4 linked regions of the Saccharomyces cerevisiae S288C genome follow. The protein of the gene in region 1 interacts with the protein of each later gene in a biochemical or structural test. Each region holds a gene or a part of one and is shown in the gene's direction. Other genes may lie near its edges. The genes, in order: DUN1, TEL1, SML1 and DIF1.

Region 1 (3,913 bases):
CCGAAGGATCTGATTTAACCTGTTCTATTTCTTTTTCTTCACTCTCCTCATCCACGTCATTTTGATCGTTGTTTTCACTTTTGGTGGAATTTGCTTTCACAGTCTCCTCCTGTGTGGACTCTTCGCCTGGTGTGCCCTCTAAATCAGGAGTTTCAGATCCTATAGAGCCTGTGGCACTGCTATTTTTATTCTTCTTACCTTTATTCTTTTTATTTTTCTTTTTCTTCAATTCTTCTACTCTCTTTCTAGCCTCTTCCAATTGTTTCATACGCTTAACTTCATCAGACTCCTGTTCAGACATTGTAACTATATGATAAACTTGCTCAATTCAGGTTGGTTCAATGCAAATTATTACATCCCTTTTTTATCACAAGATCTTCGTAACAATAGTACTAATTAATAGTGCTGGGGATTCTCAACCATTTTTTTTTTTTCAAAAGCGAAAATGGATAAAACGGTGGCAACTTCAAACAAGTTGAGGGAAGCCAACGCAGCGTTTAGGAAAACGTACGACAAGAACAAGAAGATCATCACATTGTAATTATGGATTTAACCGTGGAACCTAATTTGCACTCTTTAATTACCTCTACCACTCATAAGTGGATTTTCGTTGGTGGTAAAGGTGGTGTTGGTAAGACTACTTCATCATGTTCCATTGCTATCCAAATGGCTTTGAGTCAACCAAACAAACAGTTCCTACTGATCTCTACTGATCCTGCCCATAACTTAAGTGATGCATTCGGTGAGAAATTTGGTAAAGACGCCAGAAAGGTGACAGGCATGAATAATCTATCATGTATGGAAATCGATCCATCCGCTGCTTTGAAGGATATGAACGACATGGCAGTTTCACGCGCTAACAATAACGGAAGTGACGGTCAAGGTGACGATCTAGGAAGCTTGCTTCAAGGTGGTGCTCTTGCTGATTTGACCGGTTCCATCCCTGGTATCGACGAAGCTTTATCCTTCATGGAAGTCATGAAGCACATTAAAAGGCAAGAACAGGGCGAAGGTGAAACCTTCGATACTGTTATTTTTGACACTGCTCCAACTGGCCACACATTAAGATTTCTACAACTACCAAATACTTTATCCAAGCTTTTGGAAAAGTTCGGTGAAATTACCAACAAATTGGGCCCAATGCTAAACTCTTTTATGGGCGCAGGTAATGTCGATATCTCTGGAAAATTGAACGAGTTAAAGGCTAATGTCGAGACCATCAGACAACAATTCACGGATCCTGACCTAACGACTTTTGTTTGCGTTTGTATCAGTGAATTCTTATCCTTATATGAAACTGAAAGACTAATTCAGGAATTGATTTCCTACGATATGGACGTTAATTCCATCATTGTCAACCAATTATTATTTGCTGAAAACGATCAAGAGCACAACTGTAAGAGATGTCAGGCAAGATGGAAGATGCAAAAGAAGTACTTGGACCAAATCGACGAATTGTACGAAGATTTCCATGTCGTTAAAATGCCATTATGTGCTGGAGAAATCAGAGGCTTAAATAACTTAACAAAGTTCTCACAGTTCCTAAACAAAGAATATAACCCTATTACTGATGGCAAAGTCATTTATGAGTTAGAAGATAAGGAATAGAAGCCCCTGAATACCATAAATAGATACATACGACATATAACCATAGAAAAAATAGTAATACGATGGTATGTGTGTGAAAAGAAAAAAATTACGTGACGCGACGCGTTTGTTTACTTTTTTCCATTTTATTTCCATGGTATTTTTCAAATGATTTTGGAAAATTATTAGATATTGTTGAAAAAGGAGGAAATGAGAACCCTTTATAGTCGAGAGTAACAAGTAAAGGGGCTTAACATACAGTAAAAAAGGCAATTATAGTGAAGATGAGTTTGTCCACGAAAAGAGAGCACTCTGGTGATGTAACTGACTCTTCATTCAAAAGACAGCAACGAAGTAATAAGCCCAGCTCAGAATACACTTGTCTGGGCCATCTGGTGAACTTAATACCCGGAAAGGAGCAAAAAGTGGAAATAACAAATAGAAACGTTACTACAATCGGTAGAAGTAGGTCGTGCGACGTTATATTGAGTGAGCCTGACATCTCGACTTTCCATGCTGAGTTTCATCTACTGCAAATGGATGTGGATAATTTCCAAAGAAATTTGATTAATGTTATCGATAAGAGCAGAAACGGAACTTTTATTAATGGTAATCGTTTGGTGAAGAAAGACTACATCCTTAAGAATGGTGACAGAATTGTCTTTGGCAAAAGTTGCTCCTTTTTGTTCAAGTACGCATCTTCATCTTCTACTGACATCGAAAATGACGATGAAAAGGTAAGTTCAGAAAGTCGTTCATATAAGAACGACGACGAAGTTTTCAAGAAACCGCAAATAAGTGCTACAAGTAGCCAAAATGCTACAACGAGTGCCGCAATTAGAAAACTGAATAAGACAAGGCCTGTGTCGTTCTTTGATAAATATTTATTAGGTAAAGAATTAGGTGCAGGGCACTACGCCCTGGTGAAAGAAGCCAAAAACAAAAAAACTGGTCAGCAAGTAGCTGTGAAAATATTCCACGCTCAGCAAAATGACGACCAAAAAAAGAATAAACAATTTAGGGAGGAAACTAACATCCTAATGAGAGTGCAACATCCAAACATTGTCAACTTACTAGATAGTTTTGTAGAGCCAATCAGCAAATCTCAGATTCAAAAATATTTGGTACTGGAAAAGATCGACGATGGCGAACTATTTGAAAGAATCGTCAGAAAAACATGTTTGAGACAGGATGAATCCAAAGCTCTATTCAAACAGTTACTTACCGGATTGAAGTATCTGCATGAGCAAAACATCATTCACAGAGACATCAAGCCAGAAAATATCTTATTAAATATAACAAGGCGCGAAAATCCAAGTCAAGTCCAACTTGGCCCATGGGATGAAGATGAAATTGATATTCAAGTTAAAATAGCGGATTTTGGCCTAGCAAAATTTACAGGAGAAATGCAATTCACAAACACACTTTGTGGTACGCCTTCTTATGTAGCGCCCGAAGTCCTCACAAAGAAAGGATACACATCAAAAGTAGATCTTTGGAGTGCTGGTGTCATATTATATGTCTGTTTATGTGGTTTTCCTCCATTCAGTGATCAATTGGGGCCACCTTCATTGAAGGAACAGATCTTACAAGCTAAGTATGCGTTTTACTCTCCGTACTGGGATAAAATCGATGACTCAGTACTACATTTAATATCCAATCTTTTGGTCCTAAATCCTGATGAAAGGTACAATATAGATGAAGCTTTGAACCACCCTTGGTTCAATGACATACAGCAACAAAGCTCGGTCTCATTAGAATTGCAGCGTTTACAAATTACTGACAATAAAATACCCAAAACATACTCAGAATTATCTTGCCTCTAAACATGAGAAGCATTATTTCAAAAACATTGTTTGAATCTGGATTTTTCCAAGTATCTATTTATATATACATATATATCCACCAACATGCAAAAAGTTGTTAGCCTTTCTTAATCCTAATATGATGTGCCACCCTATCGTTTTTTACCATTTGCTTAATTGTTCTACTTTCTCCTGCAGCTCTTTTTTAACCTTAACCCGCATATAAAAAATGTCACAGTTCTTATTTGAACACAAAACTTCACTATGTAAGTTACCAGCGCACCTTTGGCATTGTGTCCATAATCTTGAGTATTTTTCCTCTAAATCTCTGACATCGTATAATGCCTTTATGTATAATTCTCCAGACCTTGCTAGACAGTTTGAACAAAGAGGGCCTTCACCTTTCCTCAACGGACCTTTACAACTTTTACAAGCCTCAACTTTTTTAATAAAGCTCATCAAGCCTCCTTTTTGAGAGCCTGTGTTAATTTTAATGGATTTCACAACGAACATACCGTTCG
Region 2 (9,862 bases), on another chromosome or scaffold:
CAACTGCTTTGAAAAACCCATGCAGTTATTATTTTCAACAGACCAAGTTTTTTTATCGCTTATCCGGCTCACAGAACGAGCCGTACAACCGTCATCAGACTTGCATGGAAATGTTGAAAAAGAGGTAAAAAAGAAAATATCAAACCCAAACACGCTCGGGCTGAAAAATTAATATGGCAGGAAACGAACTGTAGCCATAATGTACCTGTTCCCGCTAATAGTAATACCATCGTATTGCTAAGGTTAGTAGCTAAAAATCTCTTACTTTCTTTATTTTGACTCTTAGGTCTTACAAGCAATACAAAACCAACACACCTATATATAACTAATAATGTCCGGTAACGGTGCTCAAGGTACTAAGTTTAGAATCTCAGTATGTTAAAATTTTTATTTTCCACAATGCAATTTGGTTAAATTGATCATAAAGTAAAGTTCCAAGATTTCATTTTGCTGGGTACAACAGAATTAAACAGAGGTTTAAAAGACGCTAAACACTAAGTGTGAAGCCTGATCATATACCTATCGGTGTTATTTTCCATAAGAATGGTAGATGTGCCATCACTGGTACCGCCCCGCCAAAGATGCAATTACACACATAAATTCAGTTTTTAAATGGTTAAGCGGGCTGTATTTGCAGATGAAGTGATACCTGTCAATATTCATGGACTCAAAAATTTCTGGTTTCAAAATCATACACGGCAAGCATATCCTAACTCCCTCTTTTGCCCATACTAATGGATAACCATCGAAATGTTATTTCTACAAAAATCACGCTTAACTCTATTTTTCAAGATTAACCACATCTGCTAACTTTCTCCCTATGCTTTTACTAACAAAATTATTCTCACTCCCCGATATTGAGATCTTTTTTAACTAGTTAGGTCTACCAGTCGGTGCCATCATGAACTGTGCTGACAACAGTGGTGCCAGAAACTTGTACATTATCGCCGTCAAAGGCTCTGGTTCCAGATTGAACAGATTGCCAGCCGCCTCTCTAGGTGATATGGTTATGGCCACCGTTAAGAAGGGTAAGCCAGAATTGAGAAAGAAGGTTATGCCAGCTATTGTTGTCCGTCAAGCTAAGTCTTGGAGAAGAAGAGACGGTGTCTTTTTGTACTTCGAAGACAATGCTGGTGTCATCGCTAATCCTAAGGGTGAAATGAAGGGTTCCGCCATCACTGGTCCAGTCGGTAAGGAATGTGCCGATTTATGGCCAAGAGTTGCATCTAACTCCGGTGTTGTTGTGTAAAAAGGAAATTATTTTGACTCATACTCTTAGATTCTTCAATTATATATATTTTCTTTATAAATAACAATCTCTTAAACAGATTAAAGAAACTCAATAATTCATTGCATTTTTAGATGAAAATATTACTATTATCGTTCATCGAGAGAATCACATGATATTATGAGCGTGATAGGAGGGTCTATATATTTTTTGGGGTACGTCAAAAAAGCAAACAGACACGTTAAGAAGGTAAGAATAACAGATGATAGAATGTTTTGCTAGTGAGAAACAAGTATGGCACCAGCCGTACAATATGCATATTTTGACATTTTTCAAGGTAAATTAGTTCCAAGTTAATAGAATAATCAAGACTAATTGACTTCTCAAAGCCTCGCAAAAAAAGCAGGAAATTCGAAAAAAAAGCCTTCAAAGAAAAAGGGAAATCAGTGTAACATAGACGATGGAGGATCATGGGATTGTAGAAACTTTAAACTTTCTATCATCAACAAAAATCAAAGAGAGAAACAATGCTTTAGATGAGCTAACAACAATTTTAAAAGAAGATCCGGAAAGGATACCAACCAAGGCCCTATCTACAACGGCAGAAGCTTTGGTAGAGTTACTTGCATCTGAACACACAAAATACTGTGACCTTCTTCGAAACTTGACAGTGTCAACCACAAACAAGCTATCACTTAGTGAGAACAGACTCTCCACGATATCGTACGTTTTAAGATTATTTGTAGAAAAATCATGTGAGAGATTTAAAGTGAAAACGTTGAAGTTACTTTTAGCAGTAGTACCTGAATTAATGGTCAAAGATGGTTCCAAAAGTTTATTGGATGCCGTTTCAGTACATTTATCGTTTGCTTTGGATGCCCTAATTAAAAGTGACCCTTTCAAACTGAAATTCATGATACACCAATGGATATCCTTAGTCGATAAAATTTGCGAGTACTTTCAAAGCCAAATGAAATTATCTATGGTAGACAAAACATTGACCAATTTCATATCGATCCTCCTGAATTTATTGGCGTTAGACACAGTTGGTATATTTCAAGTGACAAGGACAATTACTTGGACCGTAATAGATTTTTTGAGGCTCAGCAAAAAAGAAAATGGAAATACGAGATTAATAATGTCATTAATAAATCAATTAATTTTGAAGTGCCATTGTTTTAGTGTTATTGATACGCTAATGCTTATAAAAGAAGCATGGAGTTACAACCTGACAATTGGCTGTACTTCCAATGAGCTAGTACAAGACCAATTATCACTGTTTGATGTTATGTCAAGTGAACTAATGAACCATAAACTTCCTTATATGATTGGTCAAGAGAATTATGTTGAAGAGCTTCGGTCCGAATCTCTTGTATCTCTATACCGTGAGTACATTCTACTGCGCTTAAGTAATTATAAGCCTCAATTATTTACCGTAAACCATGTGGAATTCTCATATATTCGAGGTTCAAGGGATAAAAATTCATGGTTTGCATTACCTGATTTTAGACTTAGAGATAGGGGAGGCAGATCGGTGTGGTTAAAAATACTCGGAATTACCAAATCATTGTTAACATATTTTGCATTGAACAGAAAAAATGAAAATTACTCATTATTATTTAAAAGAAGAAAATGTGATTCGGATATACCTTCTATCCTACGGATTTCTGACGATATGGACACATTTCTTATTCATCTTTTAGAGGAGAACAGCTCACATGAGTTTGAAGTGCTAGGATTACAATTGTGCTCATTTTATGGAACTTTACAAGACTTCACTAAAAGTTTTGCAGAACAGCTGAAAGAACTTCTGTTTTCAAAATTCGAAAAAATCCAATGCTTTAATTGGGTTTGTTTTTCTTTTATTCCTTTATTATCCCAAAAAGAATGCGAATTAAGCAATGGCGACATGGCACGCCTATTTAAAGTTTGCTTACCATTAGTAAAATCAAATGAATCTTGCCAGTTAAGTTGTCTTTTATTAGCCAACTCCATAAAGTTTTCAAAGCAGCTTTTATCCGATGAGAAAACTATCAATCAGATATATGATCTTTACGAATTATCCGATATTTTGGGTCCCATATTAGTTACTAATGAATCGTTCATGCTATGGGGATACCTTCAGTACGTTGGTAAAGACTTCCAATCTATGAACGGTATATCGTCCGCTGATAGAATTTTTGAGTGGCTAAAATCAAAGTGGAACCAGTTGCGCGGAACTGATGCTAAACAGGATCAGTTCTGCAATTTTATATCCTGGTTAGGTAACAAATATGACCCAGAGAACCCTTTCAACGATAAAAAAGGCGAAGGAGCTAATCCTGTCTCACTATGTTGGGATGAAAGCCACAAGATTTGGCAACATTTTCAAGAGCAGAGGGAATTTCTTTTAGGCGTAAAACCAGAAGAAAAGTCAGAATGTTTTAACACTCCCTTTTTTAATTTACCAAAAGTTTCCTTAGACCTCACACGTTATAATGAAATTCTTTACAGATTACTGGAAAATATTGAAAGTGATGCATTTTCATCTCCACTACAAAAATTTACTTGGGTAGCAAAATTAATACAAATAGTTGATAATCTTTGTGGAGATTCCACTTTTTCTGAGTTTATTGCAGCATATAAGAGAACAACCTTAATAACTATTCCACAACTTAGTTTTGATAGCCAAAACTCCTACCAATCATTTTTTGAGGAGGTTTTATCGATACGGACCATAAATGTAGACCATTTAGTGCTTGACAAAATTAATATGAAGGAAATCGTTAATGATTTTATCAGGATGCAAAAAAACAAATCTCAAACAGGAACTTCTGCCATCAATTACTTCGAAGCCTCTTCAGAAGACACTACCCAGAATAATAGTCCGTACACAATTGGAGGTAGATTTCAGAAGCCTCTGCACTCCACTATAGATAAAGCAGTGCGAGCTTACCTATGGTCTTCAAGAAATAAATCCATTTCAGAGCGTTTGGTAGCCATATTGGAATTTTCTGATTGCGTTAGCACAGATGTATTTATATCTTATCTTGGCACTGTTTGCCAGTGGTTAAAACAAGCAATCGGGGAGAAATCTTCTTACAACAAAATCCTGGAAGAATTCACTGAAGTCTTGGGTGAAAAATTGCTTTGCAACCACTATAGTTCTTCCAATCAAGCTATGCTTTTACTTACATCTTATATCGAAGCAATAAGACCTCAATGGTTATCTTACCCCGAGCAGCCTTTGAATTCGGACTGCAATGATATCCTGGACTGGATCATATCTAGATTTGAGGACAATTCTTTCACTGGTGTGGCCCCTACGGTCAACCTTTCTATGCTGCTGCTTAGCCTACTTCAAAATCATGATCTTTCCCACGGATCAATCAGAGGTGGGAAGCAGAGAGTCTTTGCAACTTTTATTAAATGCCTGCAAAAGCTAGACTCCTCCAATATTATTAACATAATGAACAGTATTTCGAGTTATATGGCCCAAGTGAGCTATAAGAATCAAAGTATCATATTTTATGAGATTAAGAGCTTATTTGGTCCGCCTCAGCAAAGTATTGAAAAGTCCGCTTTCTACTCTCTTGCAATGTCCATGTTGTCTTTGGTGTCTTACCCAAGCTTAGTTTTTTCTTTGGAGGATATGATGACATACTCTGGCTTCAATCATACTCGTGCGTTTATCCAACAAGCTCTGAACAAAATTACGGTCGCTTTTCGCTACCAAAACCTTACAGAGCTCTTCGAATATTGTAAGTTTGATTTGATTATGTACTGGTTTAACAGAACAAAAGTCCCTACTTCTAAATTGGAGAAAGAATGGGATATATCTCTTTTTGGATTTGCCGATATTCATGAATTTTTAGGAAGATACTTTGTAGAAATTTCTGCAATCTACTTTTCTCAAGGTTTCAACCAAAAATGGATCTTAGACATGTTACACGCGATTACTGGAAACGGTGATGCTTATCTGGTGGATAACAGCTATTACTTGTGTATTCCACTTGCCTTTATCAGTGGCGGTGTGAATGAACTAATATTTGATATATTGCCCCAAATATCAGGTAAAACAACAGTAAAATACCATAAAAAATACCGTCTACTGATGTTAAAGTGGATCATAAGATTTACTGATTTGGGCTCACTTACTGAACTTAGATCTACTGTTGAAAAATTATTCCCAACTTCATACCTTTCGCCATATTTATTTGAAAATTCCAGTGTTTCAATGAGGTATCAATACCCACTTCATATACCCTTGGCATTAGGAGCAACCTTAGTTCAGACGCAGTTTGCTCATGAAAAGAACAACACACACGAATTCAAGCTTTTGTTTTTATCGGTTATTACAGACCTTGAAAAGACATCGACTTACATAGGAAAACTGCGATGTGCAAGGGAGTTAAAATATCTTTTTGTGTTGTATGAGAATGTACTTGTAAAATCATCAACTTTAAACTTCATCATAATTCGGCTTTCAAAATTCTTAATAGATACACAAATTCACGATGAAGTAATAACAATTTTCAGCTCATTGTTAAATCTGGCTGACAAAAATACGTTTGAAATAGAGCCATCTCTGCCCAATTTATTTTGCAAAATATTCATTTATTTGAGGGAAAACAAACAGCTCAGTCCATCCTTCCAGCAGGCTATAAAGCTTTTAGAGCATCGGGATCTCATCAAAATAAAAACTTGGAAATACTGCCTTGATGCAATATTCGGAAATATAGTCCAAGATGATATTTATGAAAATACGGAACTTTTGGATGCTAGTGATTGTGGCGTAGACGATGTTGTATTGGTTTCTTTACTCTTTTCTTATGCCAGGAGACCGGTAGCTTCAAAAATCGGTTGTTCGCTTTCTAAAGCTGCTGCAATTAACATTTTGAAACACCATGTTCCAAAGGAATATTTGAGTAAAAACTTCAAACTATGGTTCGCTGCTCTTTCAAGAAGAATTTTACAGCAAGAAGTTCAAAGAGAGAGATCTACAAACTTTAATAATGAAGTTCATTTGAAAAACTTTGAAATGGTATTTCGCCATCCCGAACAACCACATATGATATACCAACGTATTTCGACCTTCAATAAAGAAGCTGAGTTATATGATTCTACTGAAGTGTTTTTTATTTCTGAGTGCATTCTAACGTACCTAGTGGGCTACTCAATAGGAAATAGCGAAAGTGAATTTTGTTTTAGGGATAACATAATGAACGAGAACAAAGATAAAGTTGCTCCATTGGACAAGGATGTACTGAATGCTATATACCCGTTGGCAAACAATTTTGGGATGGAATCATTCATATGCGATACTTATTTGTCAGTGAACGAACCCTACAACTGCTGGCTAAGCAAATTCGCCCGTAGTTTGATTCACCAAATATCATTTAATATACCTCCTATTGTTTGCTTGTATCCTTTATGCAAAGGATCAACAGCTTTTTGTGAATTAGTACTTACTGACCTCTTTTTTCTTTCAACGACTTACGATCCGAAAAGCTGTTTGAATTGGAGCAATCGAATATTCACTCAAATAGCAATGTTGCTGCATGTTAAAGATTCTGAGATAAAGCTAAAGATGCTTTTCAATGTAATTAAAATGATTAGGATGGGTTCTAGATGCAAGGAACGAAACTGTCTGCGCATATATTCTAGCTTAGATTTACAAGAAATATGTCAAATTTCTCTTAAAATAAAAGAGTTCAAGTTTGGCTATTTGTTATTTGAGGAAATGAACATGCCAAACATAAGAGAAATGAATATAAATACACTTCAGAAGATTTACGAATGCATAAATGACGGCGATTTTCTAGCAGGCTTACCTGTTCCACACTCAATAGAGGGTGTTTTGAACTCTATCAATAGAATTGACTCAGATACGTGGAAACGTTTTCTTTTCAACAACGCCGATTTTGATGCCAATTACACTACTTCACTAGAAGAGGAAAAGGAATCATTAATCAAGGCCACAGAAGATAGCGGTTTCTACGGGTTGACAAGCTTATTGGAAAGTAGACTTTCTGGATCCAGTGATGTCTACAAATGGAATTTAGAATTGGGAGACTGGAAGCTATTGACTCCAAAAGTTGTTGATTCCAAAGCCAAAGGTTTATACTATGCCATAAAAAATTTACCACAGGACGTTGGTTTTGCTGAAAAAAGTTTAGAAAAATCCTTATTAACTATTTTTGATTCTCGACAACATTTTATTAGCCAAACTGAATGGATGGATACTCTGAACGCGATTATTGAATTTATAAAAATAGCAGCAATCCCTCAGGACGTTACTTCCTTCCCCCAAACATTGATGTCTATTATGAAGGCCGATAAGGAGAGACTTAATACAATAGACTTCTATGATCACAAAACAACGTTAAAGAGTAGACATACTTTAATGAATGTGCTCTCGAGGAATTCATTAGATGAAAACGTAAAATGCTCGAAATATTTACGCCTTGGATCCATTATTCAGCTTGCTAATTACGTTCAGCTGGCAATTGCCAATGGTGCGCCTCAAGATGCGTTACGAAATGCCACTCTAATGAGCAAAACAGTGAAGAATATTGCAAAATTATACGATGATCCCTCTGTAGTATCTCAAATTGAGAAATTGGCAAGTTTCACATCTGCTAATGCCCTCTGGGAGTCTCGAGAGTACAAGGCACCTGTAATGATAATGAGAGATCTTTTAGCTCAAAATGAGAAGAATATTAGCGAAAGTATCCTTTATGACGATTTTAAGCTACTCATTAATGTGCCTATGGACCAAATTAAAGCTCGACTAGTTAAATGGAGCTCAGAATCAAGGCTTGAACCAGCTGCTGCAATATATGAAAAAATCATTGTCAATTGGGATATAAATGTCGAAGATCATGAATCATGTTCTGATGTTTTCTACACACTCGGAAGTTTTCTGGATGAACAGGCACAAAAGTTACGATCAAATGGAGAAATCGAAGATAGAGAACATAGGTCATATACTGGAAAATCTACCTTGAAAGCTTTGGAGCTGATATATAAAAACACAAAATTACCAGAAAATGAAAGAAAAGATGCGAAAAGGCATTATAATCGTGTCTTGCTACAATATAATAGAGATTCTGAAGTACTAAAGGCACTGCTTCTTCAAAAAGAAAAATTTTTATGGCATGCACTCCATTTCTATCTCAATACCTTAGTTTTCAGCAACAGATATGATAATGACATTATTGATAAGTTTTGTGGTTTATGGTTCGAGAATGATGACAATAGCAAGATCAATCAATTACTATATAAAGAAATTGGAACAATACCGAGCTGGAAGTTTTTGCCCTGGGTCAATCAGATTGCGTCAAAAATATCTATGGAGGAGAATGAATTTCAAAAGCCATTGCAACTAACCATGAAACGACTTCTTTACAAACTACCGTATGACTCCCTTTATTCAGTGATGAGCATACTACTATATGAAAAGCAATCCAATAAGGACACCAACATATCCCAAAAAATTCAAGCTGTCAAAAAGATTCTTTTAGAATTGCAAGGATATGACAGGGGTGCCTTTGCGAAAAAGTATTTACTTCCTGTGCAAGAGTTTTGCGAGATGTCTGTAGAGTTAGCTAATCTTAAGTTTGTGCAAAATACGAAGACGTTACGCTTAGCTAATTTGAAGATTGGCCAATATTGGCTGAAACAGCTAAACATGGAGAAGCTTCCCCTACCGACCAGTAATTTTACAGTCAAAAGTTCTGCTGATGGAAGAAAAGCCCGCCCTTATATTGTATCCGTCAATGAAACAGTAGGCATTACTACCACAGGATTGTCCCTGCCGAAAATAGTCACCTTCAACATCTCAGATGGTACAACGCAGAAAGCTTTGATGAAAGGAAGTAATGACGATTTGAGACAAGATGCAATTATGGAACAAGTGTTTCAACAAGTTAATAAAGTTCTACAAAATGATAAAGTATTAAGAAATCTAGATCTGGGTATTAGAACATACAAAGTGGTTCCATTAGGACCAAAGGCAGGAATCATTGAATTTGTCGCAAATTCTACATCATTACATCAAATTTTGAGTAAGCTACATACCAACGATAAGATAACCTTCGATCAGGCAAGAAAAGGCATGAAAGCAGTTCAAACAAAATCAAATGAAGAGAGGCTGAAAGCTTATTTAAAAATCACTAATGAAATAAAACCGCAGTTAAGAAACTTTTTTTTTGATTCCTTTCCCGATCCGTTGGATTGGTTTGAAGCTAAGAAAACGTACACAAAAGGTGTCGCAGCTAGCTCTATCGTTGGATACATATTAGGCCTCGGTGATAGGCACTTAAACAATATCCTGCTTGACTGCTCAACAGGGGAGCCTATTCATATAGACCTGGGAATTGCGTTTGATCAGGGAAAATTACTCCCCATTCCAGAGTTGGTCCCTTTCAGATTAACTAGAGATATCGTTGATGGATTTGGAGTCACAGGCGTGGATGGCCTATTCAGGCGGAGTTGTGAAAGAGTTTACGCAGTATTAAGAAAAGATTATGTCAAGGTGATGTGTGTTTTGAATATCTTAAAATGGGATCCCCTTTATTCCTGGGTAATGTCACCAGTTAAAAAATACGAACACTTATTTGAAGAAGAACATGAAATTACAAATTTCGATAA
Region 3 (7,635 bases), on another chromosome or scaffold:
CCTCATGTCCTACAATGGTGTAGGCCCCAAAGTTGCTGATTGCGTTTGTCTAATGGGACTTCACATGGATGGCATCGTCCCCGTAGATGTCCATGTTAGTAGAATTGCGAAGAGGGACTACCAAATATCTGCGAACAAGAACCATCTCAAAGAATTGAGGACAAAATACAACGCCTTACCTATCTCAAGAAAAAAAATCAACCTAGAGCTCGACCATATTAGATTAATGCTTTTTAAAAAATGGGGATCATACGCTGGTTGGGCCCAAGGTGTCCTATTCTCTAAAGAAATCGGAGGGACTAGTGGTAGCACTACAACTGGTACTATAAAGAAGAGAAAATGGGATATGATAAAGGAAACGGAAGCAATTGTTACGAAACAAATGAAACTGAAAGTTGAATTGTCTGATCTTCACATCAAAGAAGCAAAAATAGATTAGCTTAAAAAGTCATAGTAAATACCACGATAAAAGCACGCGACCGAAAAGGCGATACATATTCTTTAAAGGAGCTTGAAAGGTAATGATTGAAATATTAGAGATATTTACAGTATAAAACACAAATATTTAGAACGATAAATAATACAGTAAAAAACAATGCAATACCTAAATCTATCTACAAAAAACGGTCACCAAGGCGTTGGAAGATAGAAATCTATCAAATACTATTTCTTCTATGTAATAAAAACTCAGGAACTTGAGAATTCAAAGTGGTTTCTTGTGAACCAGGTATATATGGCATCTTGTCGTCGTCAATAAGCCCTTGCAAAAAGATACGACCATAGTCTACACCCACATGATAAATTTCTTCGAACTTGCTAAAGTCTAATGTGGCATATTCTTCAATAGGTGGTCTCACATAAACGACACCTGGTGTATTTTTCGCTTTCTCTAAAGCATTTACTGATGCGACGTAACCCAATCTAACTTGAATCTCTGCCATATTGGGTATGTTTGGATGAGAAGAAAATGGATTCCATCTATTGAAAATGATCCAAAACCCATTTAGGGAGTCACCATATTCCATAGGCGTTCTATCATCTGCAGAACCTACATCTACTGCAAATATAGTTTGGCAACCACGCGCTCTCATCTCAGTTACTGGTAAATTATCAACATAACCACCATCCAGTAACATAGACCCGTTCTCTTCCAAAGGAGGTAAAAGACCAGCAAGAGACATCGAAGCTCTGATGTACCTCCACGCATAACCAAAGGAATGTATTTCTTGAACCGAATCGGTTATATTAGTAGAATTACAATAATACTGGATCCAGAAGTCTTCAATTCTTGTATCCCCGAAAGTTTTCCAAATACCTCTATTAAATTCGTGACCAGTAGTATAAGAAGTAACCGGCCAGGTTAAATCTGTTAACATTCTCCATATAGAGGAAATTCGACCAGCAAACTTCTTCACGCGGCCGTAAATTGGCACCAAATCATAATCCTTCGCGTACAAACCGCCAACAAAGGAACCAATCGATGTTCCTCCAATAACGTCGACCGGAATACCTTGTTCTTCAATAGCTTGAATGACACCCAAATGACTAATACCTCTCGCACCTCCTCCTCCGAGGACAAGTCCAATAGCTTGTCCAGAAAGAATTCTAGCCAATCTTAGAAAATCATTTTTATGCCTATGAACTGGTGTGTAATATTGTCTTTTACTTTTCATGAATCTTGAAGAAAAGTTTTCTACGGTGTTCTTGATAGAATCTGGAAGTAGTTTTGATATATTCTGTTGAGTTTTTCTACTGAATTCTGTTTGAATCAACTTATCCATTAATGCCAAGGCACCATTATTCAAAACGTGCATTTTGCCTTCGTTCATCAAGGTTGTTCCTGTCAAACTAAATTGAATGTGATGATGCGAATGAACCCATGGCCTATAGCGTAACCACTTATGGGTTAGTCCTGGTTCCACATACCTTTCAGGGTGTAGAAGAATTAACTCGGTCCTTGCGGTAGTCTTTGAATTTAGTAATAACTTTTCATATTCTCCTATTTCGGCTGATGGAGATCTAGCATCTGCTAGTAAGAGAATACAATCACCTTGCGCAATACAGGTTCTTGTCCAATTAGATTTAACTGGTGTATCTGATATATAAACAACAGTCTGGTACATTTCTTCTAGTTCAGCAAAGTAACCACTTTGTTTTAATTTGGACAATCTGTCAAATGCATGACGACCTAAATGTGTTAGGGTAGTTCTTTGATTTAAACCAATCGTGGTCCTTCCTACCTGTTTGAAAGCTTGCACTAACTTCATAGCAAATGCTTCTACAGGTAGTCCACTGGTAATTGGTAAGATAGTGATGGTTCTAAAAGTAATTGTGCCAGAAGTAATATTTTGGGGTTTATGACTTAAAGAGCTAGAGTAAGACGCTTTCGTTGGAGGTATTAAAGAAGTGAAGTCGTTTTCCTTTATAGATAATGGATCGCCTGTTAATGCTGGAACAGTTCTATCTCCGACAATTTTTTTAGCAACTAATCTGGAAACTCTAATCATGATAGATGGATGTTCAAGAGCTAATAGTTCGAATAATGTTCTCGGAATTCTCGCTAATTCAGAATCCCTCACTGCCACTATCGTTGAATATCTATTCATAGCGGTAAGCACTTCAACTTCACCAAAACTCTCCCCCTGGGCCAGTTCTCCTAGAATAATGTTCTGAGTTTCAACTTCTTCGGAACTTGTATTGGAGTTTGACAATGACTGCTGTTGTAGCTGCCTTAGTCTACCATTCAGGACAACATAAATACCGTTAGCCGAGTCACCTTGTGAAAATAGAGTTTCAGAAGCCCTCAAGTGAACCCATTCTAAAGCATGGTCGAGCTTTAATAACCTTGAAGATAGCAATTTGGTTAATGAATCAGAAATCCGTAAGTAGATTAGGAAATATTTATCAAACAATCTTTCTAAGGTTGCACTAGATAAAAATCCAACATAGACATCGCTCTTGGCAACGATATTAACAAATGATTTGTAACCAATTAGAGAGGACAAGTAGCCCACAATACCACCAGATCCTACAGAGTATAACAAATGTTGAGTATGATGAGGATTTTCACCCTTGTGTGAACTTTGGGCTGAAACCTGCTCTGGTTTAGACATTGATGATACTACTGACGAGGACGAATTTGTTGTCACATTAACTTTCCCGGAAATGATATAGAATAGGCCTTTACCACGAGCGTTCTGCTCAACAATTGTGGTGCCCTTTTTAAAGAACTTCAACTGAATGCCTTGTGCAAAGTCTTTCTTGACATCTTCGAAATCCAAATTGGGTGTCAACTCCTCTTTGTAAGCTCTAGGTTTTTTTTTGTCCTGGCTTTTACTTTTATTATGCCTTTTATTGCTGATAGTGTATTCTTTGGGTAGGATTCTTAACATTGTCGGTTGAGTTTGAGGAGAGGCAAATGATGAAGCTACGGAAATGTCAGATGGTGTACAGTGAGGGGACATCAGAAAACTTGCGTTACTTGGACGGCGGCTATACATTTCATTAAGTTGAGGAGAGTTTAAAGAAGACATATTTGCTATCGAAGAAGATGAAACGGACATATTGCTTTTGTTTACACCCAAGTATGTTAACATTGCCTCAACTAAAGCCATTCTTAAAGCAGAGTCCTCGGTTTCTTCCTGGGCAGCAGAAAAGGATGTTGTGGGCAGTAAATTAGGTCTTGGAGAGACCCGTCCCTTCAAATGAACGGGACTTGGGTGGATATGGTCATGAACAGAAGTATTATCCAAGGACAAGGGCGATGTACTAAGTTGTGCGTTGCGCAATTCTGGGGACAAAGAAGAAAACTTCTTAGAGTGTACGGAAGCATTGTTACTGCTACTCCTAGAAGATCGCTTATGTTGGTTAGAGGTAGAAGTGTTAATACCGTTTGATTTATTGCGGTTGTTATTATGGATTGGGTTGGGTGACAGAATATCCATAGTTCTAGACAGTGGGACATTTGACAGTAAATCACCAGGATTAAATTGGTCTCTTGAACCCAGTACGACATGTCTCGAACTTGGATGGTGGGTGAATTCTGGTTTCAGTGAAAGGGAATTCGAACTTGTGTTAGCGTTGGCGTTAGCAATCTTAAGCGATTGAATGATACCATCAGATGGCTTCGCTTTGGGCGGTTTCTTCAATTTAGAGGAAGCATTACTATTTTTGGGTTTCGGTTCTAAATCAGCCGATCCGCTCGACTTATCTACAGTTTTAAACTTACGAATAACGGCCTCTTTCAAATAATAAGGCAATTCATAAACGATGGATTTATTTAGTAAAACTTCGATATCCATGATCTCCTTTGTTAAACCTAAGTAGTCGTGAGCAGTTTGGAACGTAACATGGTATAGCTTGGTGAGAACCATCTGTATGATATGGGAAGCAGACCGTGGGTATTTTGCGGTTAATTTGGCAAACGATTGAGGTGGGATAATACCAATTGTGCAGTCTGTAGCCGCACGGGCGACAAGTTTAGGCATTGAAGAGGGGAACGTTGGAAAGCTGTTGGTGGAGTTTGTCATGGAATCTGTGTTGGAGAAGTTCTGCTCTGATGAGCAGAACATATTGTTGACCGACACCGTTGTGTCTATAGGTGACGATAACTCAGAGGGAAAGTTACTGTTGCCATACGAGGACATGGAATGCGTGAATAAGTTTAAAATGCTCACGAGGGAGGTCAGCGGGTTTCCTGGCTTGACTGTATTTAGCAGTTGAAAATTTCCCAGTCCATTTTTCAGATGAATGTAACCAACGGATTCATCTTCTTCATCGATGAGGTTAGAAGAACAAGATTTGGTGTCGTAGTTATCAATGTCATCATCTTCTTCTTCGTCTTCTTCATCTCTATCCTGGTCGTCAAGACCATCCGTGTCACTGTGGTCAGTTTCATCGCCATGGTCCTTATCTGAATGATCTACTTCATGATATAACTGCAGGGTGCCTTCAACGACGATGGCAAACCCAATAGTACTGTCCAACAGTAAAATCTCACCCTCATCCATTTTTTGAGTTTTCATATTCTTGGTCAGGTCATGGAAGACTGGTTTTTCCAGATAGCCAAAGATTTTGATGGCGCTGAGAAATTGGTCAAGGTAAGATGAAAGAAAGGTTTCGTTTTCGTTGCCATCTTTCAATGAATGCTTTTTTGAGTCTATAATCGAGCTTGCACCCGTGGTAGAGGAACCTATGGCGGGTGGCGCGTTGGCTGACTGAGTGGAAGCTGCATTGATATTGGCGCTGGAGCCAGATTTACCTGTATTTTCCAGCGGCAAGAACTCCGGGGTCAGCCTCTTGTACTGGGATAGAATTCTCTCCTTCATGATGGTGTAAGTCACAAAGACTATGACGGCTAGGGCAAACAGGATCAGCCAAAAGGAAAGAGTGAACTGAACATGGTGTAACTTGAAGAAGATCCACTTCGGAATCCTTAAAAGCGATAAAGTTGCCAGATACCAACCGTACCTGAAGATCATACGAGAGGCACCCATAACAAAGTAGGACACAACCCACGAGAAGTTGAAGAGGGATGAAAGTGACCACGTCTGCGCCTCAGAAATAATCTGGTCGGTGAGACATGTCTGGAATCTATAAGAAGTATAATTACTGGAATTAAAGCTGGAGCCAAGACTGTTTTTCGTGTTTTGGCCGGTATTGTTGGTGTTGTTCGTAGTGCAATTCATTGAACGCATGCAAAAACTAGAGCCAAGCCTTTCTATTCTTTTCTTGTTTATTTTATATTCGTTAGAGTTTTGTGGTGTTTCTTTAACTTAATAAACTTTCGAGAAAAGTGTCAAGTTTCCCAGATTTTTAAGATCCTTATAACCTGTAAAAAAAAAAAAAAAAAAAAAAAAGAAGGGTTTAAATAAAAATCGGACTTACTCAAAGGGTTGAAAAGCACTTTAATATAGGTTTTTAGTTTCGGGTAAGAAGATGTGTCAAAGGTCTCGAAAAGGAAACATTAGGGCAAATACGTAAAGGTTGCCTTCGTATCTCGTTTCCACAGCAACGAGAAACGAGATACGAAGGCAACTGATTCCCAGCATATAAAAGGCCATGAATTTTTGGCGTTTCCTATTGTCTTTTCGAAACTATTTCTTTCATTCCTTTCCTTTCTTGTTCTTTTACTTATAAGAAAAATAATATACGTATATATATAACTACAAACCACATCAGCAATAAAAAAAAACTATATGACCATGGACCAAGGCCTTAACCCAAAGCAATTCTTCCTTGACGATGTCGTCCTACAAGACACTTTGTGCTCAATGAGCAACCGTGTCAACAAGAGTGTCAAGACCGGCTACTTATTCCCCAAGGATCACGTTCCTTCTGCCAACATCATTGCCGTCGAACGTCGCGGCGGTCTTTCTGACATTGGTAAGAATACTTCCAACTAAGAGCATGCTTCTCTTTTTTTTTGTAGGCCAATGATAGGAAAGAACAATAGATTATAAATACGTCAGAATATAGTAGATATGTTTTTATGTTTAGACCTCGTACATAGGAATAATTGACGTTTTTTTTTGGCCAACATTTGAAATTTTTTTTTGTTACCTCGCGCTGAGCCCAAACGGGCTCCACTACCCGCCGCGGTCGCCATTTTGGGAAGTCATCCGTCCCAAAAAGGAAATAGCCATAACATATCGTTACTGTTTTGGAACATCGCCCGTTTCGCCCGATTCCGCCTCAGCGGGTATAAAAAGAGATCTTTTTTTTTCCTGGCTGTCCCTTCCCATTTTTAAATGTCTTATCTGCTCCTTTGTGATCTTACGGTCTCACTAACCTCTCTTCAACTGCTCAATAATTTCCCGCTATGCAAAATTCCCAAGACTACTTTTACGCTCAAAATCGCTGCCAACAACAACAAGCCCCTTCCACATTGCGTACCGTGACCATGGCGGAATTTAGAAGGGTGCCTTTGCCACCTATGGCTGAGGTTCCTATGTTGTCTACTCAAAACTCCATGGGCAGCTCCGCTTCTGCCTCCGCTTCTTCATTAGAAATGTGGGAAAAGGATTTGGAGGAGAGACTCAACTCTATCGATCATGACATGAACAACAACAAATTTGGTTCTGGCGAACTAAAATCTATGTTCAACCAGGGTAAGGTCGAGGAAATGGACTTCTAAAGTTCCTTTCATACTCTTTTCTTTTCTCTTTCCATTTCCCACTAGTTCTGTTCTTTTCTTCTCTTAGATACCCTTCTTTTCAGGGACTCTCGTCCTACTATTGTTGTCATTCTCGAAACATTCTCTCCCGTGCATTTTCCTTTCCCTTTATATACATATATATATATATATATATATATGTCTCTTCTACGTATTTTTGTATTTCTGTGTCTTTATCAAAGATAGTCTATAATACGTTTGATACAGCTAGATATCGCTAGCGCCAACATTGTCCCCCTCTCTTGATCAATGCTTTTTTTCGGCCCGAGACAAATGAGAAAATGTCCTAAAAATACCTTTCATCAAGACTCCTATTTTTCCTTAGAAAAAACATATATCCAACTGGAACAGTATTAAGCCAATTGCTACGATACAAACAAAAGGAGATATTCCTTCCCTCCCATAGAGTCACACAGGAGCCAGTACTTCTTCTTGAACCCGCAATGTCTTCAGACGCTATA
Region 4 (6,693 bases), on another chromosome or scaffold:
TCTTATTTGCCACATGGTGGTTCTGATAGAGTTAGAGAGCTCACTGAATTCGTCATGCGTGGAGCCAACAATGTTTTTCAAGAGATGGTTTTCGCGAGCAAGCACATTTTGCTCCCTGAGGCAGTTGTACCAAAGGGAATGCAAGTCGTTAAAGGACTTGTGCCTCAACTCTGGGATGCTCCAGGGTCTGATATGGCTGGAAGGCGGCAAGTCGTCGGCGGACCTGATGAATTTCTTGTTGGAGAAGAACTGCCACAGCGGGTGGTCGTCGGGACAGCGCAGGTTTGAGGTTGTTGGTGGGATTGGTTCGGTAATCCTCAGGTTGTTGGAGTGATGAGTCAATTGAGTGGGCGGTCTTATTTTGTCTTTGGGAAGCACCGGTTGTTTTGGCTTTGGTTTGGTAAACTTTGTTCTGGCACGCAGGGGCCCTCCTTGGGAGTGGAACGATCTCTTCCACATTTTTATTATATTTTTATGGTATTTTTTTCTAGCCGCAGAGATAGAATGGTACTCTCTTACCAGGGCTCGATAGCTTTCAGGGCAATTCTTTTAGTTTGCTGAAATGATATTTTTTCTTCTTCCTGATGCGCCCTTTTGGCTATCCGTGCTGTGTGATAGGTCGCGATATTGAAAGAAGAAAAAAAGCAAGAAAGCTGAGGTTTGAACAAACAAGAGGCAGGATGTTTCCATCCATTCTAGCAACCAATACAACAGGGGAGAGACACGCAGATAAATACACACACACACACAACATCACGCACACTCAAGAAAATGGAGACACCTTTGGATTTATTGAAACTCAATCTCGATGAGAGGGTGTACATCAAGCTGCGCGGGGCCAGGACGCTGGTGGGCACACTGCAAGCGTTCGACTCACACTGCAACATCGTGCTGAGTGATGCAGTAGAGACCATATACCAATTAAACAACGAGGAGTTGAGTGAGTCCGAAAGACGATGTGAAATGGTGTTCATCAGAGGAGACACAGTGACTCTAATCAGCACGCCCTCTGAAGATGACGATGGCGCAGTGGAGATATAAGCAAAGAGGAGGAGAAAACAAAGGGAAACAGTACGTATTTTTTTATTTTACTTTTAGTATATTAAAAATGTGTAAGATATAAAACAAAAAAAAGAAAAGAAACGAGAAAACATAAAAAAAATGCGTATTAATATTATAACAGATCGATACACTTGGCAATGGTTTCGACACCGGTTTGCAAGTCCTCTTCGGAGATGACCAAAGGAGGAGCCAATCTGATGATGTGGTCGTGGGTGGGCTTAGCCAAGAGGCCGTGATCCTTCATCAATAGACACAAGTCCCAAGCGGTCTTACCATTGGCCTTGGATGGGTCGATTACGATGGCGGTAAGCAGTCCCATACCACGCACCTCAGAGATTATACCGTTAGATTTGGCTTGGAGAGCTTTCAATTGGGCGATGAAAGAGCTACCCAGTTGGGCGGCTCTTTGGCACAGCTTCTCGTCGCGGATGACCTCGAGGGCGGCGATGGCAACGCGGGAAGCCAAAGGATTACCGCCGAAAGTAGAACCGTGAGATCCTGGGGTAAAGCAAGACATGATGTCGTGAGAAGACAGAACACATGAGACGGGAAGAACACCACCTGAGAGAGCCTTACCTAACAAAACAATATCAGGCTTGGCCTCTGCCTTGTAGTGGTCGTAGCAAAGCAACTCACCGGTTCTACCGATACCGGTTTGAATTTCGTCAACGATCAATAGGACGTTGTGCTTACGGCATAATGCGGAGACCTTTGGGAAGTAGTCTGCGGGGGGCACGACGATACCGGCTTCACCCTGAATTGGCTCTAGAATGATGGCGGCAACGTTCTTACCTTCAGGAGATTCCAAGATAGGGACGAAATCTTCTGCGTGGCCGTATCTGATCTTGTGCACGGAGTGACCACTGGCAACGTTAGGCACGAAAGGCCCGAAATGCAACTTGGAGTCCTCGTAGTCGGTACTCAAACTGATAGCACCGAAGGTTCTCCCGTGGAAGTTACCCTCGGCACCCAGAATGATGGCTTTATCTTGAGGGATGTTCTTCTTCATGTACCCCCATCTTCTGGCCAACTTCAAAGCAGTTTCCACGGCTTCTGCACCGGTGTTCATGGGCAAAACGGTTTCGAACCCGAAGAATTCGGTCACGAACTTGGCGAATTGCGCGTAAACATCGTTGTGGAACGCTCTGGAGGACAATGTTAGTGTTTGTGCTTGCTCCGTCAAAGCCTTGATGATGTGAGGATGGCAATGGCCCTGGTTGACGGCAGAATAAGCGCTCAGGAAGTCGAGGTACAGCTTACCCTCCGGGTCCCACACATGTGCGCCCTTAGCCTTGTGAAAAACGACGGGCAAGGGGTGGTAGTTGTGGGCGGAGTATTTGTTTTCCCATTCAATGGTTTGCTTGGAGGAGAGGGTAGCTTCGGACATTGGTGTTGTGGTTCTGTGCTGCTGTGGTGTCTTGTGGTGTAGTATCCTTTGCTGTAATACGAACAACCGCCATATAACAACAAGACTCAACGTATGGTGGCCGCAATTTATATATGCAATCGAGTCAGCCAGTCAGCCGCTAAGGGCAAGGGCACGCGACTACGGCGTCGGCTAGCGCCGCTAACGGCAGGGGACGCCAGGTCCTGCCGTTAACAGAGGGCAGAATTTGTCCGTGCGCACATTTGCGTGTGGTGCATGGGTTCTATTCCTCATTAGCGCGGCTCGTACCACGCGCTTTTTTCTTCTCGTTTGTTTGTGTGTGTGCTTTTTCTTTTTCCCGCCAGTGGGGTATTTATTTATCTAGTAGCAACAGGCAAGGATTGGAGAAGAAAACAAAGAAAAAGAAACAGCAAGAGAACCCAGATCAAGAAACGCACGCTTTACATCACACACTAATACAGGAACAAACAAGACTTAATGGACGCACAACTGGAATGGGCAAGCAGCCTCGTCCCAAAGAGACAGCTTCAACAACAACAACAACAACAGGAGCAGCAGCAGCAGCAGCAACAGGATTTCCACAAGGACCAGTTGATGACTGTGGGTATGCGAATCAGACAGCGGGTCGACCAGGGTTATGCATCGAGGACGCCGAGCACCTCGGACGCTTCACTACAGCCGGGTGTCATTAGAGATTACTCGAGCGTTATTGTTCCGCAATTTACAAGGTCGCCCTTGCCCACTGCTAACTCGCTACCACCTATGCTGATAAACCAGAGAACAATGTCGACCGAGGCGTCCTCGCTCGAGAAATGGGACGTCGCGGAACCTGCCGCGGAGCACGAAACAATGGTTAATGGATCCAAGAGAAGACTTTAACAGACTTGCACAATTTTTTTTATCTCTCTCTTTTTTTCTCTCTTTTTCCTACTTTACTTTCTCTTTTATAGATTCTTTATATAGTCTTTTCTCTTGTTCGCACATTTTTTATAGAGGATATAACAAATAATAAAAACTATCGCAGTTGCTTTGGCTTCAGGGGGTTTTTCCTTGCTTTTCCGCCGGTTTACGTGCTTAATTTCGGTGTTTTTTCTTTCGGGTAAACCTATGGAGAAAAAAAAAAAAAAAGACCTCTATTTATTGAGTACACAACATACACGTACAGGTAGATAAGCAAACAAATCAGAGAAAAAGCTAATAGAGAAAGAAATACACACAAATCAAACCATAAAAATTCTCCCTTAGGCTATGCATAATGGGAAATACTGACTCCAAATCCAGTTCGATCCTGCTGAACCACTGCATCGCTCTGGTTCGACCGGAGGACGCAGATGCGTCCTCCCCTTCACGTACGTCGTCGCCCTCGCCCTCCCTTTCAGTTGATGCTGATCCGTTGAGTTTAAACCTGTCAATTTTTAAGCTGGATTCTGGGCCTGACGTTGAAGCGTTGTTCAGCGACAAACCAAATGTCCCGCTAGATACCGTCTTCAACGATTTTTACTTGGACTTCATATCAGTGGACGTGCAGGACTTCAGCATTAACTCTAGTTTTAAAAAAATCCTGCACATTATCTCTAGTTTGAACCCACCCAACTTCAACAACTTGATTGTCTTCCTTTCGCTCTACATTATTCTTTCCGCGAACTCCTTGCCCGCTTCCCGTACGGGACTTCATTCTTCGCGGCTTATCAACGCCATAAAGACCCTTTCCATCCTCATACCTATTTATTTTGACCGGGTCAAGTCTAGCACGCAGGACCATTACGATGTCTTTTGGGCCACGCAACATGAAATTGAGGGTCTTCCCTTGCAAAACATCCCACTGGGAGAAAGACTACTGTTGGCGATCTTGAAACTGGCTTTCCAAGATAATTTCACAACTGCCGTGACCGCCCACCCAAGCGAATTGTGGGAAATCGGCATCTTGACTAATTCCAACAAGTACCGCTCACTACTGAATATGCATCATCAGTGGCATCTTTTTGCCAATAGACTGCTTCTTTTACGTCTTTTGGCAGCTTTATTTTCTTCGGACTTGTACACGAGCGGCGGTAAACAGGACATAAACATGTTTCTTGTCTACTGGTGTACTCAAATGCCTAAGGACAAAAGCATTCAATTCACTTCCTCGCTATTAAATTGCACGATGCGGTTTATACTTAACAATAATAAAGACTTCCAGAGCTTGAAGGCTAATTTTTTCAGCTCCGACGCCACCGCAAGTAATTGGCAGACGCTTTATTTTCAATTTGTGCAGTCTTGTCTGCACGTTTTAAATCTCTCCATGTCATATAAGGCCCAAGACAATGTCATTACCATTTTCCTCACCCAATTACAGCGAGAGTACGATTTAAAATTAATTCTTTCTAGTTTCATTAAAATTTTCAAATACCCCATCGATCTCGCCATAGAACAAGAATCAAACATTTTTAACTTCACAAACAATAAACATATTGATGCCAGCAGAAGGAGAGCCGTGTCGACGAGCTCTCACGATAACAGTTCATCTTCGCATGCTTCGTTGCCTAGTTCATCATCGGCGGCATACCATACGAAACCGCAAACAAAGCCACAATTACCAGAGATTCATCCTTTGTTGATACCTATGACTATTCTCATGACAAACTTGATTGATTGCAATAAGTGTTTCCAAAATTATTTTGCAGACAAGTTTGCAAGTAGATTCATCATTTTTTCCATCTACTATTTAAAGTATTATGATTATTCATCGTTGTCGTCGTCTTCATCAACAACACGCTCGAATTCTTCCACCACGAGCAACGGCACATCTAACGATACGAGCAACGAGCGTTCTATTGTGGAACTGAACGAAAATAGCGTTTCACAGATCTTGTTACCTTTACTCAATCATCTTCTCCTGATTTTGACTTCAAAAAAACTTGTTCTCTTCAAAATGCTACAGACTTTCAACCTTAATTATTATACAAATAATTTGCCAAATTTCTACAAACTCTCCAACATCAACGGCGATATAAATAATTTGACGTTCAGAGATTTTACAGTCATACAATTATCGAATTTGATTTTAGACAACATTAAATTCAATTTACAACCGAATCCGATTTTTTATGAATTGATTTACAATCTGCTGCCAATTAATGACGAAATTTTGACCAGTTCTCACAAAAATGATGATTCACATGACGATTTAATTCTATTATCAGCAAAGAAGAAGTCCGCATCACCAAGTGCAGCCACCTCTAGTCATACATCCTCGTCCAAACTATCCTACAATGCTGCAATGTCCCTACTTTACGTTCTTTCTAAGTCATCAAATAAGGTTTATCTGACAACTTACGCTACGCCTGTCTTCAAGACAAAAGATATACCGTATATGATCTCACCGGGTTTCAAAATGGATTTGTTGGCGTTATTATTAAGGTCAATCACAATATTTTTCACCTTATATTTTGACGATGCGGAGAATCTACTATTTGCAATGGTGAGACATCAGTCCATCACTCACCAAATAAATGACTCTATAAATTCTATATCCAAGGCCTTAGACATGAATCCAAATTTAAATTCGCATATCATGACCTTGAAGCAAATGGGATTCAACCGGAAAGTCCAATGGAAGGATTTCTATCAATTTGAAGAGATAACTGATTTGCCTCAAGTCAATCTTTATTCTTCAGCAAATCAACAACATCAAAATCAGCAACAAGGCCAAAATGACAATCGAGGCCAAAATCAAAATGAGGACCCAGGTCAAGAAAACGAATCTCCAACTCCTTATTTGCTTTTCAATCCTGCGTCATTAGAAAATGAAACACCTGGGACAGTTAAGCATTTTTCAAGTACGAATCATGATAAGAACTACCAAGTCATTGCATTCATTGATTTCAAGTCAGATTCAAATCTGAATTTGCAACATCAATTAGAGTATTGGCCACATAGACCTCAATGGCCTACACCACTAACGTTTACTCACAAATGTAAAAATCCCAAATATGAAAATTTTAATGAAGTTTGGTCCGGTACAGTTTATTTACAAATTCTTTTGCGGGTTATTAAGCAAATTTTGTCGAAGGTTCCTGAAATTCCGAGAATTAAATCGGTGCAATATTTCGAAACTTTATCGAAACTGTCGGCTCTTAGATCTGATATATTGACCACAATTCATCCCCGGTTACCACTGGATGTTCGACGATTGACAACTTTTCAGCCTTTGTCTATGCATACTAATGATAAGCTGTTGATGTGGTTCCACATTGCCACAT

What was found.
Region 2: of the proteins of DUN1 (region 1) and TEL1, one has a biochemical effect on the other in vitro, tested with the Saccharomyces cerevisiae proteins (one study listed by BioGRID).
Region 3: of the proteins of DUN1 (region 1) and SML1, one has a biochemical effect on the other in vitro, tested with the Saccharomyces cerevisiae proteins (5 studies listed by BioGRID).
Region 4: of the proteins of DUN1 (region 1) and DIF1, one has a biochemical effect on the other in vitro, tested with the Saccharomyces cerevisiae proteins (one study listed by BioGRID).

Annotation. Positions count from the first base shown.
Region 1 is NC_001136.10:279,807-283,719, reverse strand, and holds DUN1 (serine/threonine protein kinase DUN1), read left to right. Parts: upstream 1-1,871; coding exon 1,872-3,413; downstream 3,414-3,913. Other genes in the region: BUG1 (Bug1p), read right to left, coding at 1-301; guanine nucleotide exchange factor GET3, read left to right, coding at 544-1,608; DNA-directed DNA polymerase delta POL3, read right to left, coding at 3,555-3,913. UniProt on the Saccharomyces cerevisiae protein: Transducer of the DNA damage signal. Phosphorylates SML1 on serine residues. Cooperates with the PAN deadenylation complex in the regulation of RAD5 mRNA levels and cell survival in response to replicational stress.
Region 2 is NC_001134.8:51,209-61,070, reverse strand, and holds the start of TEL1 (DNA-binding protein kinase TEL1), read left to right. Parts: upstream 1-1,688; coding exon 1,689-9,862. Other genes in the region: 60S ribosomal protein uL14 RPL23A, read left to right, coding at 332-373, 878-1,249. UniProt on the Saccharomyces cerevisiae protein: Serine/threonine protein kinase which activates checkpoint signaling upon genotoxic stresses such as ionizing radiation (IR), ultraviolet light (UV), or DNA replication stalling, thereby acting as a DNA damage sensor.
Region 3 is NC_001145.3:152,563-160,197, forward strand, and holds SML1 (ribonucleotide reductase inhibiting protein SML1), read left to right. Parts: upstream 1-6,820; coding exon 6,821-7,135; downstream 7,136-7,635. Other genes in the region: 8-oxoguanine glycosylase OGG1, read left to right, coding at 1-439; NTE1 (lysophospholipase), read right to left, coding at 657-5,696; HUG1 (Hug1p), read left to right, coding at 6,198-6,404; CMP2 (calcineurin catalytic subunit A), read left to right, coding at 7,618-7,635. UniProt on the Saccharomyces cerevisiae protein: Strong inhibitor of ribonucleotide reductase (RNR1) and is involved in regulating dNTP production.
Region 4 is NC_001144.5:1,008,257-1,014,949, reverse strand, and holds DIF1 (Dif1p), read left to right. Parts: upstream 1-2,926; coding exon 2,927-3,328; downstream 3,329-6,693. Other genes in the region: mitochondrial 54S ribosomal protein uL29m MRPL4, read right to left, coding at 1-459; U4/U6-U5 snRNP complex subunit LSM3, read left to right, coding at 772-1,041; CAR2 (ornithine-oxo-acid transaminase), read right to left, coding at 1,175-2,449; ECM30 (Ecm30p), read left to right, coding at 3,705-6,693. UniProt on the Saccharomyces cerevisiae protein: Mediates the nuclear localization of RNR2 and RNR4, 2 subunits of the ribonucleotide reductase.